3 linked regions of the Caenorhabditis elegans genome follow. The protein of the gene in region 1 interacts with the protein of each later gene in a biochemical or structural test. Each region holds a gene or a part of one and is shown on either strand. Other genes may lie near its edges. The genes, in order: unc-95, pxl-1 and rnf-5.

Evidence for each region.
Region 2: the proteins of unc-95 (region 1) and pxl-1 form a complex in vitro, tested with the Caenorhabditis elegans proteins (one study listed by BioGRID).
Region 3: of the proteins of unc-95 (region 1) and rnf-5, one has a biochemical effect on the other in vitro, tested with the Caenorhabditis elegans proteins (one study listed by BioGRID).

Annotation. Positions count from the first base shown.
Region 1 is NC_003279.8:14,382,151-14,387,525, forward strand, and holds the start of unc-95 (LIM domain-containing protein unc-95), read right to left. Parts: upstream 2,588-5,375; coding exon 2,365-2,587; intron 1,237-2,364; exon of another isoform or gene 1,149-1,236; intron 895-1,148; coding exon 806-894; intron 756-805; coding exon 608-755; intron 1-607. UniProt on the Caenorhabditis elegans protein: Required for the assembly and integrity of muscle dense bodies, which establish the adhesion sites of the muscle cells to the extracellular matrix.
Region 2 is NC_003281.10:5,893,539-5,898,913, forward strand, and holds the start of pxl-1 (Paxillin homolog 1), read right to left. Parts: upstream 2,474-5,375; 5' UTR 2,469-2,473; coding exon 2,423-2,468; intron 2,142-2,422; coding exon 2,012-2,141; intron 1,937-2,011; coding exon 1,848-1,936; intron 1,802-1,847; coding exon 1,708-1,801; intron 749-1,707; exon of another isoform or gene 691-748; coding exon of another isoform or gene 593-690; coding exon 541-592; intron 1-540. UniProt on the Caenorhabditis elegans protein: Required for myofilament organization of the pharyngeal sarcomeres and for pharyngeal muscle contractions and hence for pharyngeal pumping. Together with lin-8, might be required for myofilament organization in the body wall muscles.
Region 3 is NC_003281.10:4,164,117-4,169,491, forward strand, and holds rnf-5 (E3 ubiquitin ligase rnf-5), read right to left. Parts: upstream 2,730-5,375; 5' UTR 2,718-2,729; coding exon 2,650-2,717; intron 2,049-2,649; coding exon 1,802-2,048; intron 1,245-1,801; coding exon 974-1,244; intron 549-973; coding exon 427-548; 3' UTR 159-426; downstream 1-158. Other genes in the region: C16C10.8 (LYAR-type C2HC zinc finger protein), read right to left, coding at 5-55; ccdc-55 (Nuclear speckle splicing regulatory protein 1 homolog), read right to left, coding at 2,935-3,852, 4,202-4,351, 4,539-4,649; E3 ubiquitin ligase rnf-121, read right to left, coding at 4,973-5,093, 5,153-5,272.

The sequences.
Region 1 (5,375 bases):
TCCAGTTGGGCCCTAAAGCTATTGTTGGAGGTCTAGGTAAGGTCTGAATTAGGCTTGAAGCTTAGAAAGGGTTAGGGAGGGTCTATATGAGATCTGATGCTTAGGAAGGGCATAGAGGGGCCTGAAGCTTGATATGGGGCCTAGATGGGATCAGGGGCTTAGGATAGGACTTGAATGAGGACTGAAGCATAATACGGAGCCTAGGTAAGATCGAAGGTTTTGGATAGACCTAGCTGGAATCTAGAGCTCAGAATATGGTCTAGAGGGGCCTGAAGCCAAGGACAACGTCTAAATGAGTCAAAGGCTCAGAATGGGGGAGAAGTGGTTCTGATGCTTAGGATAGGGCATATGTTGGATCTGATGCTTAGGAAGGGCCTTGACGGGACTGAAGCTAAAATGGCTTCTGAAGCTTACATGGGGTCTAGGTGGAGTCTGAGGCCTAGCATAGGCTTTGGATAATGTCTGAAGCATAATACGGAGTCTAAATATGATCGAATGCTATGGATAGACCTAGCTGGAATCTAGATGTGCCCTAAAGCCTAGAAAGAATTATGTAGCAGATTATAGATGCGATCTGAACCTATTAAGGGTTCTAACGAGATCTTACTCTGATCCTGTTTCAGCTTGACAAGCTGCTGATTCATGTCATCCGAGCTAACAGCTTTCAACCTTGCGGCCAGCCAATCGTCGGTCGGATCAATCGAGATTCTACCATTGACTTCCATCTCGGTTTGGAATTGACGACGTTCCATTCTCTGAAACAAATTTCAATGTATTCCCGCACAAGATCTGAAAAAATCGATACCATCTGTTCTTGTTTGCGACGAATGATCTCGGTCGTCTGCTCGACATCGTTTTTCAACGCGGTAAGTGTTCCATTAACGATCTCGTCTTCTGCAAAATGTAAGGGATAGAGACAGAGAGATTTTGATGATCTGAGAGGTTTGTTGCTTAAAAATGTGCACCACTTTTTTTTTGGGTATTTCCTTAAAAAACGGCTGCATAAGAAAGTTGGAAATGACTCTTTTATAAGCAAATTTTGAATAAAATCTGATGTTGAGAATCAAAATTTAGCTGAAAATCCGAAATTCCTGTGGGAAGGTCTAGCTAAAAAATGGCACGGAAATAAGAAAATTAGGTATAGAAATTAAGCCTAAGCCTAAGCCTGAGCCTAATCCGAAGTCAAAGCCTAAGCCTAAGCCTAAACCGAAGTCAAAGCCTAAGCCTAAGCCTAAACCTAATGCTTAACTGCTCAAAACTAGCAAATTAATAGGGACCGTTTTTGATCCAAATCGTACAATTTTTGGTCAAAATCCAACTTTTCTGATCAAAATCGGAATTGGACTATTTTCAATCAAAACTGGACTATTTTCGGTCAAAATCCGACCTTTTTAAGCCAAAAATGATAGATTTTTGGGCGAATTTTGGACAATTTTTGGTCTAAATCCGACTGTTTTCAGTCAAAATTGGTCAAAAACGTGCAATTTTTGTCAAAATCGGACTACTTTTTGGTCAAAATCAGATAATTTTTGGAGAAAATCGGTCAATTTTTGGTCAAAATCAGACAATTTTTGGTGAAAATCGGTCAATTTTTGGTTAAAATCGGTCAATTTTTGGTTAAAATCGGTCAATTTTTGGTTAAAATCGGTCAATTTTTAGTTCAAATCCGGCTTTTTTTTGTTAAAAATCGGTAAATTTTTGGTCAAAATTGGACCATTTTGGTCAAATTCAAACCATTTATTGGTAAAAACATAACAATTGTTTGGTCAAAATTAGATAATTTGTGATCGGAATGAAACCATTTTTTTGGTTAAAATTGGACTATTTTCAATCAAAACTGGACTATTTTCGGTCAAAATCCGACCTTTTTAAGCCAAAAATGATAGATTTTTGGGCGAATTTTGGACAATTTTTGGTCTAAATCCGACTGTTTTCAGTCAAAATTGGACCATTTTGGTCAAATTCAAACCATTTATTGGTAAAAACATAACAATTGTTTGGTCAAAATTAGATAATTTGTGATCGAAATGAAACCATTTTTTGGTTAAAATTGGTCTATTTTCAATCAAAACTGGACTATTTTCGGTCAAAATCCGACCTTTTTAAACCAAAAATGATAGATTTTTGGGCGAATTTTGGACAATTTTTGGTCTAAATCCGACTGTTTTCAGTCAAAATTGGACCATTTTTGGGTAAAATCCAATCATTTTCTGTTAATTTTGACATTCTAGTATAGTTAACACAAAATTTTGTTATTTTCAAAGTTAATTGAGTATTACACCTCAATTCTTTAGTTTAACATTTCCCATTAGTTTAACATACCCCCCCCCCCCCCCCCCAGAGGACCCCCTAACTTCGACTCACGTTGACTAAACTCCTCATCATTACGGAACACCTTATCCTTATTGGAATTCCTGCTCTCACTACGCCACCGGGCCACGTGGCGCTCCACAGGATCCGGAATCGCAGAGAGCCGACCATCCTGAGACGGGGTCCCGGTGCCATGTCTCTGTTGACTACTACGAGATTCCGTAGTCCATTGATAAGATTCGAATTGTTGATGGCTGGGTTGAGGGGATATAGTCATCTGGAATTTTGAGTAGGAGGAGGAGGTGAACATTTTTGGGTTTTTCTGTGAGACTGAGTAAGAGGTTAATAATGGCATTTTCAATATTTAACTAGTGTGCACCTAAATTCTAGGTGTCTAAATAAAAAAGTATAATACAACAAATAAAGAAAAAAATCGTGTTAGTTCAAATTCGTGTAAAGGAAAACGTAGAGGAAAATCGACACAGCAGTGGTACACTGATGTGTATGAAGGGAGAGGAAAGCAAGAAGCAGCAACAGAAATATATTACAACATATGCTCTCACCGGCAGAAGAGAGCAGGCTACTGCGGGGGCAGAATCTGCCCGGCAGATGATGGTGAGGAGAAGACAATGAGGAATGAGAGATAGAGACGAAGATCGAGGAGTCTACAAAGATCGATTTGTTGAAATTATTTGAATTTTTTGCTCTTTTTTTTTTGAATTTGTTACCGTGAGTTAGGGTATTAACTAGTACCATAATACTATGCACGTATACTATACGGTAATTAAAGGTGGAGTAGCGCCAGTGGGGAAATTATTAAAAACCACTCCTTTGGTCCAAAAATGACCAAATATCATGATAAAACTTTTCAAAAAATTTTTGAAAATTTTTTATTTACTGTCAAAAAGTAGTGACTGTAGTGATTACTCAGTTTTGCCACTCATTATTTTGGAGGTCGATTGATTCAAAAAAAAAAAAAAAAATTTCCAATTTTTTTAATACTTTTTAATACAATTTTGTTTAAATTATTTGAATTAAAACATTGTAGGGGTCGAAACATGCGACATTTTTATAAATTTCCTCAAAATCTCGTAGTTTTCAAAATTTTGGCAATGTGCCAAAACTTTGACCGGAAATTATGGAAAATCTAAAAAATTTTGGAGTGCTTTATTATGATATGTTTGGATTTTTTGGATTTTTTTTCTTATGATATAAGTGTATTTAGACAAAATCCCCAAAAACTGCCAACTGACAAGCAATTTGTTACACGGTCTTATAAATTTTTTAAAACAACATTTGTATATAGCTCAGGGGTGGGCGGTAATAGCAAAAAAAACTGGGCAAATCGGCAAATTTTCGGTTTGCCGAGTTGCCGGACAATTTCAATTTCGGAATTTGCCGGTTTGCCGGAAATTTTCAATTCCGGCAATTTGCGGGTTTGTCCGACTTGCCGGAAATTTTTATTTTCGGCAATTTTCCGGTTTGCCAAGTTTCCAGAATTTTTCATTTTTGGCAAATTGCCGGTTTGCCGAGTTGCCGGAAATTTTCAATTCCGGCAGTTTGCCGATTTGTCGAAAATTTTCAATTTCAGCAAATTGCTGGTTTGCCGATTTGCCGGACAGTTTCAATTTCGGAATTTGCCGAGTTGTCGAAAATGTTCAATTCCGGCAATTTGCCGGTTTGTCCGACTTGCCGGAAATTTTTATTTTCGGCAATATTCCGGTTTGCCAAGTTTCCCGAATTTTTCAATTTCAGCAAATTGCTGGTTTGCCGATTTGCCGGACAGTTTCAATTTCGGAATTTGCCGAGTTGTCGAAAATGTTCAATTCCGGCAAATTGCCGGTTTGTCCGACTTGCCGGAAATTTTTATTTTCGGCAATATTCCGGTTTGCCAAGTTTCCCGAATTTTTCAATTTCAGCAAATTGCTGGTTTGCCGATTTGCCGGACAGTTTCAATTTCGGAATTTGCCGAGTTGTCGAAAATGTTCAATTCCGGCAAATTGCCGGTTTGTCCGACTTGCCGGAAATTTTTATTTTCGGCAATATTCCGGTTTGCCAAGTTTCCCGAATTTTTCAATTTCAGCAAATTGCTGGTTTGCCGATTTGCCGGACAGTTTCAATTTCGGAATTTGCCGAGTTGTCGAAAATGTTCAATTCCGGCAAATTGCCGGTTTGTCCGACTTGCCGGAAATTTTTATTTTCGGCAATATTCCGGTTGGCCAAGTTTCCCGAATTTTTCATTGTCGGCAAATTGCCGGTTTGCCGATTCGCCGGAAATTTTCAATTCCGGCAATTTTCCGGTTTGCCGGATATGAACTTGCCAGAAGTTTTTAGACCCAATTTTTTTATAATGTGTCTTTTTGAAAATTTTCCGGGTTTTTTAAAAGATATTTTCTTAGAATATGCCTGCTTTTCAGAATAGATGTAGGAACATGAATAGATGTAGGAACACATTTTTTCCGATTAAAATTGAAATTCTGATATTTTCAACAAAAAAAATTTTGCTGCAACAAATCGTTTGCCGCTCACCCCTGGTCCACAGAGATCTTGGCTTTTACAATTATAACAACGTAATCATTCTGTTTAATGTTATTTATCCAATCTGGCCGTAGTAATGGTATATCCTCAAAACAAAAATCCTCATTTTCATCCAAATATACATTTTCTTTTCAATTATCTAGCGGATTAGTCATTCCACCATGATATTTCGTATTTTTTCCGCTGACTGTTTCTGAAATAGGATTATATATTGAGGCGTGCCGCTATAATAGAGAATATACGGTAGCTTCAATTTTTGACTTTAATTCACAATAAGTTTTCTGTGTGTGATTCCTGTTTCGCGAAACTTAAGTGATTTTTATGCTAACGTCAAAACTGTGAACCCTACTTTAAAAAATATTAAAATGTTTGAAATGTGTTCCACTTTTAGATCGATCCACGTGGAGTCAGAAAGTCCCATTTCGCTTTTATCTTCGAAAAATGCGGGAATTTAGACGCAGACATTTCATCTGATTTCGCATGGTTAAGAGCGTGCTGACGTCACAATTTTTCTGGAAAAATATTCC
Region 2 (5,375 bases), on another chromosome or scaffold:
CATGACCTAATACCATATTTAAACACTCTACATTTTTTCTTGAGATTTTTGAAAGTTTTGTCAAGAAATGGTCAACTTAGAACAATTGAACAAAAATTAAATAATATTCTGGTGGATTTCTTGAATTACCAGTGGCAAAACCCGAGTAATTGCCAATTTTTGACAGTAAATTGAATATTTCAAAAAACATTTTGAAATTATTTTTATTTCAAAAAGTCCCAAAAATTTCAAGAAACCTTTATTTTAAAAGAATGACCGAATTTTCTACTTTGTAGTCATGTGACCAAAATAGGAAAAACTACAAATTCATAAAGTTTGCGTCTAAGTTGAATACATATCGTTCAGGATCAGTAAATTAGGTTTTAAAATTTGTGAACACAGAAATATCCGGAATTAGATTTGTAGAGATTGGGAAAGTTTAATGAAGATTCTGGGATTTTGAAAATTCTAATTTAAGGACATTTTTAATTAAGGTCTCCCAACGAAAACATTTCAGTTTCCCTTCCCAGAAGCTCCCCCCGAAAAGAAATAAAAACTTACGACATCAGAGTAGGATTGTGCCTGACTTGGTGGTCCGAGACTCTTGCGTGAGCTATAAACCGAATGATGTTGTTGGTGGTTTGAATGACTATTTTGTGCATAATTTGGACCATTGAAATGGTCAAGCCGTTGTTGCAACTCGCGCATCATTCCGCCAAGTGATAGGTAAAAGTGTTGTGTGCGTGGAAAAGAAAAAGGTGTGCTGCTCCTTTTCTCTATATTTTTCTTTCTCACTTGATAGAGAGTAGGTACTCTCCCGCCCTACAGCATTTTACCCCTGTTGAGCTCAAGAGATACTGAGCAAGACGAAGAAACTCAGTGAAAAATAAAATAACCGGCTCCTCCTCTGTACCGGGGAAGAAGAGATGATTTGCGACACGGGATGAGACGAGTAGAAGTAATATGCGTGTATGTTATTAGTCTTTTTTCTCGTTCTTCCCTTCACATTTGAGTTTTTGTTTGTTCCCGGGATTTTAGACGCAGAAACACGGGAAATGACCTAAGAGCCGGCGGGAAAATGGAACACGGAGTTGGCATTTTGATAAACGGGCTTGACCATTTCAAATCGGAATTTTCTAGTTTTATATTTTCAACATTTTTATTTTCGGAGCTATTTTTGGAACTTAAAGGCCATTTTTCTTTTGTTGTCTGGAAAGCTTTTAGAAATTAAAAAAATATATATCTGAACCAATTTTCGTGATATACATAAGTTTTCAATTTTTTTGAAGATGCACAAAAAATGTTGATATAAAAATTAACAATTTTCAACAAATCTTATAAAAATGTCGAGGCCTTAAGTGAACTTTCTAGGCTACAAAAAATTATGAATTTTCGAATTAAAATGCCTAATAGAATTCTAAATTCTGAATTGTTGGTCTAACATTTTTTGTGTGTTCTAGGCCATTGATTTATATTTTCGCATTCTCAGATGTAAGATGTTAATGTTTTACAGATTTTTTTGAAAGTGCCAATCAAAATTTTTTAAATTTTTCCTTTTAAGAATCCTAATCGCAAGATTCTTGAAATTATTAAATCAGAAGATTTGAAATTAATATTTAAATTGACTCATAGTATAGCTTTTTAAAAGGTTTTTCTAGGCCACGAATTTCAAAATATGACTCCGAAGATAAAAATGTTTTCAAAAAAACAAAAAACGTTTTCTCCTACCTGCTTGCTCGAATTGGTGGTTCTTCGACTTGAGACAATAGACTTTGGACACTTGGACGTGAATAGACTGGTGGGTTAAGTCTTGATTCATTTTCTACAGATACAATTACATATTAATGTTCTTTACATGAAAAACAAACCATAAATCCTTTCCTGACTTTTTGAATAATCTTTTCCTTCTGACGAACGACGTTTGTAGGGTGAAGTGGTTATATTTCCATTGCTCACACTGACACAAATATTAGATGTTTAGTTTATGTTAAAACATGTATGGAAAGGTTTGTAACATTAAAAAAAAACTAACCTCTGTGTGTTAAGATTTCCCTGAAGATCATAGGATTGCTCAAAATCATCACGACTCTGTGAGCGGCGATCACTTATATGAGCACGGCGGAGCACTTCTGTGGTGTGTTGAAGATCCGATAGAAGGGCTTCTGAAATTAAAATAATATATTTATTTATTTTTTGTTTCAATTACAGAATTTGAACTCTTCAATGTTTCAAATTGAAAAGTGAAAACCCACTTTTTAAGAATTTTATTATTGAAAACTATCAAGTATGAAAATCATATAAATTTTCAAAATTATGATAATTCCATCCAAATATTAATAAGTTTCCCATTAATCAAAAAACTCATAATTTCCAAACTAGTACTACGACTACTACTGGGAGCATTTCTCCACCGGAAAGCCTCCATTAGAAAGTTCTTGGGTACCTAAAGCTGGTTTAACCGCATCCGCAAAACGATCGTCGCTTGGCATTCTTACTGAAATATTCAAAAAATGTTCAGGAGAAAATCAAGAAAAAAACAATTAAAAGGCGGACGAAAGAGCTTTATTAGAAGTTATAATGTAATTGGATTTTATAAAAAGTCCAAAATTCAGTTATTTCAGAACCTCAGAATGCAACCCGACGGCTTAGTCAAGTTTCGGAAAATCAACAAATTATCAATTGATCGAATTTACAACAAGATGTTCAAAATAGTAAAAAACGGTACCAATGAGGGTGTATAAAAGAAGGAAAAGTGCAATAATAGATGAGTGTGTATGCATGTGTATGGGGACCACTAAAAATGTGAGAGAATGTGTCAAAATATGTGTGAGTGAGTGGAAAAAAGTGGGAGGAAGAAGACAAAAAACGATGAAGAAGCCGACAAAAAAAAAGAAAAAAGGAAGAAAGAAAGAGGAGGAGAAGGAAAAAAGATTTATGGAGATGACATAAAAGAAGTACAAAACATTGAAAAAAGAATAGCATCTGGATAACAAAAATACAAATTTTTATTTATAAAAATTACAGTTTGATGAGGAATCCTCAGAAAATAATCCAGTAGCCTAAGTTTTTAAAATATTGAAAAGGATGTCTAATAGTAAGTAGACACTTCACCTCTCAAATTTTTAAAGTAGAAGTGTCTACTTTTCATTAAAAAAATTTAAATTAGAAGTGTCTATTTTCCCATAAAAAATTTTTTAATGTAGATATGTCTACTTTCCATATATTTTAATTTGATTAATTTGCTTCTCAGAATAGGAATGATCATTTTGATATTAGTTAAAGCTTGATCAATAGGAAAACTTAGTTTAATTGTGAAAAAGTGTTAAGATAATTTTGGTTCAAATTTAAAATTGTGAAAAAAAAACTTTTTTGTAGAATTCCAAAATTAAGAAGGTGAGAACTAGCCACTTTTTGACTACACTATTTTAAAAAAACATTTGAACCGTTTTCTATGATATTAGGACATTTTAGCAACATATAGGAATGGTTTTATGCAATTCAGTTCGTTAAGAGTTTTTTCAATTACACATATTCCTAGTACATGTTTTTGCTAATTGAATTGAAATTTAATTAGAAAATAATCCAGGTTGCTGGAAATAATTGGTACTTGGAAAAGGGATCGATAACGAGGAAATATTTAAAAAAACCTTGAAAGTCAAATCAGTAATCCAATCTAGTAATCCAATCTCTCTTTTTCGAAAAAAAAAATTTTTGGAAAATCTAAATAAATTATTAGCAACATGACCGCCAAAGAAAGCGATGACCGAGGTATCCCTTTTCTCGGCCAAGTAGCAGAAGTCTCCCTATGACAAGAGATACATTGAAATCACATATTCCGTTTGAATAGATCACATTTTAAACGGTGTTGTGAAACCGGATCGAGTACTAAAGGAACATGCCAATCATGCATGAAAAATGAGAAATGTCAAAACTTTTATGAATTTCTACGGTATATTGTGAAAGTTGTTTGGAAGTTCTTGAAACTTCTTGAAACTATTATTTTACCAGAATATTATTTGATTTAAGGAAAAACTAGAAAATGGAACATGGGAATTCTTCATGATCTTGGCCCTTAATCTTTAGGAGTTTCTTCAAAAAAGAGAAGAGATAGACGATAAAAGGAAATAGTGTGAAAGTTAAAGAGATACAGAGACAGACACATAAACGACACATAGAAAAGAGCGGGAAGAAATGGAGGCAAAGTTTTTGTTTTTGAATCAAGAATGAGCGGGAGGAAGAGATTGAGATGTACACAGGCTTGAGGGAATTCGAATTGAATTCGATTGAAATGTAACTAAACGGCTGCCGTAAGATAGTAAGTACGACGGTTGATCTAAAAATGATACAGTTTCTAAAAATGTGGCTCTATACAATTGATGAAATTTATTAATGGTACTGGCTCTAAAGACTCTAGATAAAACTCTCCACTGGTTAGAAAGAAAACTATGCTCTAAAATGTCTTGTAATAGTTAGTGAAGCTAGCAAAAAAAGTCTCCAAGAGACTCAAGAGATCTGCTCACAGTAAAACAAAAAAACGCGTCAAGAGTGTCTCTCGCCTCCCACCGCATGCTTTAACTTTTTGATGACAAGTTTGCGCCGCCACGGATATAAATAAAACCATCGAAATGACTTTGAAAAGATCATGGAGATCCGAAGAGACACATACGAGCATATCGTAATTCAAACAGAAAAAAAGTTTGCAAAATGTTTCAAGTAGGTTTCGAAAGGAGAGTGTACCTAGGGATCAGTTGTGGAAGACGGAATTTGTGGAAAATTTAGAAAACAAAATTATTATAAATTCTTAAAATATGGGATAATTTTTTACACTGTCCCGTAAGAAAATTCGGTCACCAATTTTATTTTCGGGACCACGTACCGTATTCAAGATTCAAGTTTTTAAGGCAAGTAGGTAAAAAATGCCAGCTTGTATACACCCGTTTTTGTACGCGAACATTTCACATTTAATTCTATAATTTGAAATTACCAAAATCGGGGAAATTCGTAAATCTTCAAACAAAAAATTCAGAAAATAGACGGTAAGTAGACACATAGATATATAAATTATTTTTTTATTCAACACTTTGAATTGTATTTTTAGTTTTTCTTCTATACCATTAAAACTTTAATAATTCTATACGGAGCAGGAAGGAGTTCACAGACATCTATGAATGGGCGGAGCCAAATTTAGAAAAAAAAATCAAAAATATGAAACAAAAATTGAAATATCAATAGAAAAAGCTGAGGAGAAAAGTGATTGGAATCAGTGGCAAGAGGCAAATCACAGCTGTTCGTGTTGCTAAACAAGTGAGCGGGCATCATGAGGGAAAAAGTGATAGGTGGGCGGAAATGATCAAGAAGAAGAAGAAAACGACGATTTTAGAGAAGATTTTATAGAA
Region 3 (5,375 bases), on another chromosome or scaffold:
TTACCTGATTTTTCTTGCAAGCTTCACCGCAGTTGTTGCACGAGAAGAAAACCATCTGGAAATTCAAAAATCTAAAATTAAAATCTATACAAAAGAATTCAGATATTCAAAAGTGGTTTTGAAAACCAACATTTTGCTCAAAAAATCCAGAAAAAAGTGGGAAACTAATCGTTTTATACGAGAAAAAACCAGGAAATGTGGATAGAATCGACGAGGAAAAGTAACACAGATTGAGAGAAAAGAAAGGATTAATAAAATATTATATTAGGGAAATTTTTTTTGTTTTTATAATACAAAAAATGGAATATTTTCTGGATCGGATGCGGAAAAAAACTAATAATTATACAAATTGTTAGAAAATACAGGTGAAAAGAATATGAGGAATGTCGGATTTTTTTAGTAAAAAAAGCAGAAAAAATGGGATTTTTAGACGAATAGAAGCCAGAAAAGCATAAAAAATCCAATATATTTGAAAATATTCGACAAATATTCCTCTTCTTGAGCCATTCTTGATCCCGGTGCAGCTGATTCTCCGTGTCCACGGGGTCCTGAAAATTTTCGGTTTTTTTTCAGAGAAAAATCGAAAATTTTTGCTTTTCTGGTTAAAATTATAGAGTTAGAGTTTTCCAAATGTTTATACATTTTTTGTTTGTTTTTATTTTCTGAAATTTTTCTAACAAAGTTTTTTTTTCTAATGTTATCAAATCTGGCAAAATTTCAGAATTTTTCAGAAATTCTAGTTTTTTTAATTATTAAATTTTTTATTTTTTACAGTTTCCTCGTATTTTTTTAGTAAATTTTTTCAGAATTTTAGAATTTTCCTATTTAAAAAATGTAAAAATCAAAAAAACAAATTTAAATAAGTTCTTTTTTTTTAATTCTTTAATAGAAAAAAAACTTTTTTCTTGGATTTTTCTGATTTTTCTTCAAAAATAATCGAAAAATCTGGAATTTTCCCTAAAACTCTAATTACCATGTGTATGTCCATGAGTATGTGCATGTGTACCATCATTTCCGTCATTTCCTCCACCATTTCCACCACCAGCTGCTGCTGCTCCTTGATTACCATTTCCAAAGAATGAAGCAACAAATGACAATGGGAAGATGCCTTGAATGAAAGGTAGCATGAACATCAACGGGAACAGACCATTCACCGTACCAATTCCAAATGAAAAATGCACATTTGGTCCGCCGCCGCCCATCATTCCGCCATCGCCACCCCAATTGAAACCGGCAAATGATTGCTGAAAGAGGGTTTTCGAGATTTTGTTAGTTTTTGGGTGTGTGTGTGTTATGCGCTTTTTGGGATTATTTTGGTATTTATTTAGATTTTTTAATAAATTATAAATTGGTTATTTTTTCTTAAAGAAAAATTGTGCAAAAAGCAAACATTTTGTCAGCTTTCTAAAAAGTTCGAAAATTTTTTTTTTTTTTTTGAAAAATTTATGTTTAAAAACACTTGGCTTTTTATCGTGTTTTTGGCTTAAAAATTTCCTTTAGCAATTGTTTTCTTTTTTCTCTTTTTATTATTTATTTAAAAAAGAAATTATGTGTTTGAAAGAGACATTAATTTCCGATAAAACTATATTTGCCGAACATTTAAGAAAAATTCGGTTAAAATTATAGAAAACACTTTCCAATAAAACCGGTCTTTTTGTTATAATCATGTGAAATTTTTCTTCTTTTTTTCATTTAAAAAAAAGTAAAATTTGATGATGATGATGAGAAAATTGAAAAAAATAGCATAATGTCTTTTTTTAAGTAGTTCAGAAGTGTTAATCAGTGCATGAGTAGTGCATACCGGTGGTGGTTCACTTCGTTGTCCTTTTGGACGTGGTGGAACTTTTTTACGTGGATCCGATGAATCGCCACCTCTTCCATAGATCGGTACAACTTTATTCCCATCAATTGCACTTTTACACACTGGACAAACTTGATTATTTGGACGAGTATCAAGCCATTGACTCAGACATGGCCAACAAAAAAGATGTCCACATAGGGAAACGACTGCATCTTTTGCTGCGTCCAAACAAATATTACATTCAAATCTGCAAAATTACGATTATTAAATTTTGGAAATTCTGGAAACTTGTATTTTTAGAAACGGTGAAAATACGAAAAATTTGAAAAGAGTCAGTTTTTAAAATTCTTCGATTTTTTTGTCAATTTTTCGGGAAAATTATTAGTTTTGATAACTTTTTTTTGAAGACATACTGCTTGTAAATTCAAAACTTAGGCCATTTTCGTTTTTCCTACTTTTTTTGAAATTTTTGAAAATAACTGTAATATTTTCTGTCGGATTTTTTTTCTCGTATTTCGGTTTCTTGTTGATTTTCCGGAAAACTCCTTTTTTAAAAATAATTTTCGGTTATCTTTGAATCTGTTCTCATTAAAATCAAAACATTTCTGGTTAATTCGTAGTTTTTCGGATGTTTTAAAGTGTCGTAAAAGTATTTAGATAAACTGCCGTTTTTTGAAAATTTACAGCAAAAATAGAGAAATTATTCGGAAAAATAATTAAAAAAAAAAAACAGAAAATATGTAATTTTAGATTTCTCAAAAAAAATTAATCAATAAAAATTCGTTTTTTTAATTTCCGGTCATTTGTTATGTCTAACGATTAAAACATCGATTTTTTTCTAAATTTACCTCGCAGATTCATCTTTATTACTGGAGCTCGTGGGCTCCTCGGATGGAGCTTTCGTCTCCGACGCCATTGGCTCCGAACTCTGAAATTCCTTATTTAATTCTCTCTGAAATCACGTATTAAAATATATAAAAATGGTAGAGATAACCATAGAAGTTTTTAAAAAATGAACATTGGAAATTGAAATTGGATATTTCATTAGGTCTGGAATTGGAAAATTGGGAGATTGGAATTTTAACCAGCAATTGAAAAAAACAAACAAAGAAAAAATAAATAAAAATTAAATTTTACAATGGAGGTACAACAATTCCTTGCTCCTTTCTCTCGAAATATCTTTGCCTCGCTGCCTCAATATCTTCTTCTGTATTCCGCTGCTTCAGAATTTCTTTGAGTCCGTCTAATCTTGCTTCTTTATCGATTTTCTTCGGCTTCAGCTTATCTTTAAGCGAGATTTTCGGCGCTTTTTCAGATTTTTCAGATTTCCCTTCAGGCGATCTTCTACTCCCTGATTCTCTCGATTCTATGGACTTCCTTGAAGTTGGTGACGGGCTTGAAGTCCTTCTCCGAGCTCGTGGAGCTCTTGCACCTTCATCATCTGAAGATGGAGGTGTTGGAGTGTAGTTTCGCTGACGGATTCTCTCTGCGTGAGTCGTTGCTTTTTTTTTTGATACCGTATTCAGGCCAGGTTTAAGATCTCCTTCGAAATTTTTTTGTGGAGGTTTTGGTGCTTTTTCCTCGTCAGAATCATCGGAATAAATTGATTTTTTAAGCTTTTCGGCTGGTTTCTTATCCGATTTTTCCGGTTTCGGATCAATTTCTTCATCAGAATCTTCCCGTTTTCTCACATTTTTCTGCTCTTTCTTCCTCTGTTTAATAGCTGTAGGATCTCTTGCCAAATCGTTTAAAAGCGTCCTTCCCATACCAATTTCCCATAATTTCTGTTTCTGAACACTTGTCATATCATTAAAAGCAGCTTCTTCAGCTTCTTGTTCCCGATGTTTCTTCACTTCTTCCTGTTGCTTACGGTATGCTCCAGTTACAAAAACTTCTTTATCATCAAATTCATCGCCTTCTTTCTCTCGTTCTCTGAGTTGTTGGCGTTCTTCACGAGAAAATTGTTCGAGTTGGCGACGAGCATGGGCTTTAATGATGTTCTCCGCGTATTTCGATTCACGATTTTTGTCCGCTTTTCGAGCTTCTTCTTTCTGCAAAAACAAAGCTGTTAGTTGAATTTTTCAGCCTAAAAATACTGAAACTTCTGAAACAAACCATTTTTGGTTAAAGATGTGTTTTTTTTTCTTTTTTAACGAAAAATTTTCGATTCTCTAAAAACCCGAAAAATCGAAAATGTTCGTTTATTCTTGTCCATTTTTTAGATTTAAAAAAATATCAAAATTGTTAGTGGAAACTTATTATATAAATTGTTTTATTTGTTGAAAATTTTTTTTTCATATTTTCTTATCGAAAATTCTTTGTTAATGGTTTTAAAATCTACACTTTTTCGTTTTATTTTTAGTATTTTTTTTTTCGATTTTCAACTTTTCGAGCCCTCACTTTTTCATTCTTAATCGCCTGAATTTCATCGTAATTCCCGTCATAATCGAAAATCGTCGGATCCTCGGCTTCTGCCTTTTGATGTTCTCGTTCTGCTGCTTTTTGCACACGAATAACTGAAGCTGATGCCATATTGGTAGCTGTGGCTGGCTGAAAAGTAAGAAATTTATAATTCAGAAATTTATAAAAGCTTTTCTAAATCGAAAAATAGTCAAAAACTAAAAATGTTTAAAATTGCTAGTAGGAAAAAATTATTTTTGATAATTTTCGGTCATTTCTTTGTTGTTTGAAAACTTTTTCTCCTACACTAAATTTTTCAAACTTCTCTGAATTTTACCACATTATCATCATCATCATCGTCTCCAAAAACACTGGAAACTCGAATTGGAGCAGCTTTCGGTTCATCTTTTTTCCGAATATTTAATCCTACATGCCGTTTTGATGCCATCTAAAAACTTTTTTATTTTATTTTTCCAATTAAAAGAATCCAAAGGATACAGTTTCAGATATAAAACACCGCTGTGAACGGGAATTGGAAATAAAAATTAAACAGGAAGAATAAATAAAGTCGTAATTTTTTTTTCAAAGAAATCAGAAAAATCACCCGGTGCCCGGCAAAAAAGAAGTAACGAGAAAAAATGAAAAAACGAGAATAAAAATGCAATTGGAATGACAATTTTTGTGTGTATTTGTGACTATTTGATAACTTTGGGATGCAGTTAGAAATTATTAAATAAAAATAAATAAGTAAAAATTAAAATAAAAAGATTCCTATTCCAATCCCATCCATGTGGTGAGTCCTTGAACAGCTGTTACAATCAATGGCTGCCAGCAGACGAGATAACGGATCCAGTCAAGCAATTTTCCATAGAATAAATGAGGTTTCTCCCATCTGAAATTGAAAATTTTTAAAGAATTTATAATTAAATTTGATTTTTTCAAAAAACTAACGGATTTTTAAACATTCTCTGTAAATCGACACGTTCTTTGCAATACGGGCATGTTTGAAGTTTTCCAACAACTACCCATCCTCTGATACAGAATTCGTGAAAAACGTGGCCACATGAGAGTCTGAAATTATTGATTTTAAGTTTAACAAGAGCTTTCTAGCCTCATGTGTCGATTTACTTTGTTAAATGCAAAAGGGTGCGCGCCTTTAAAGAGTACTGTAAAT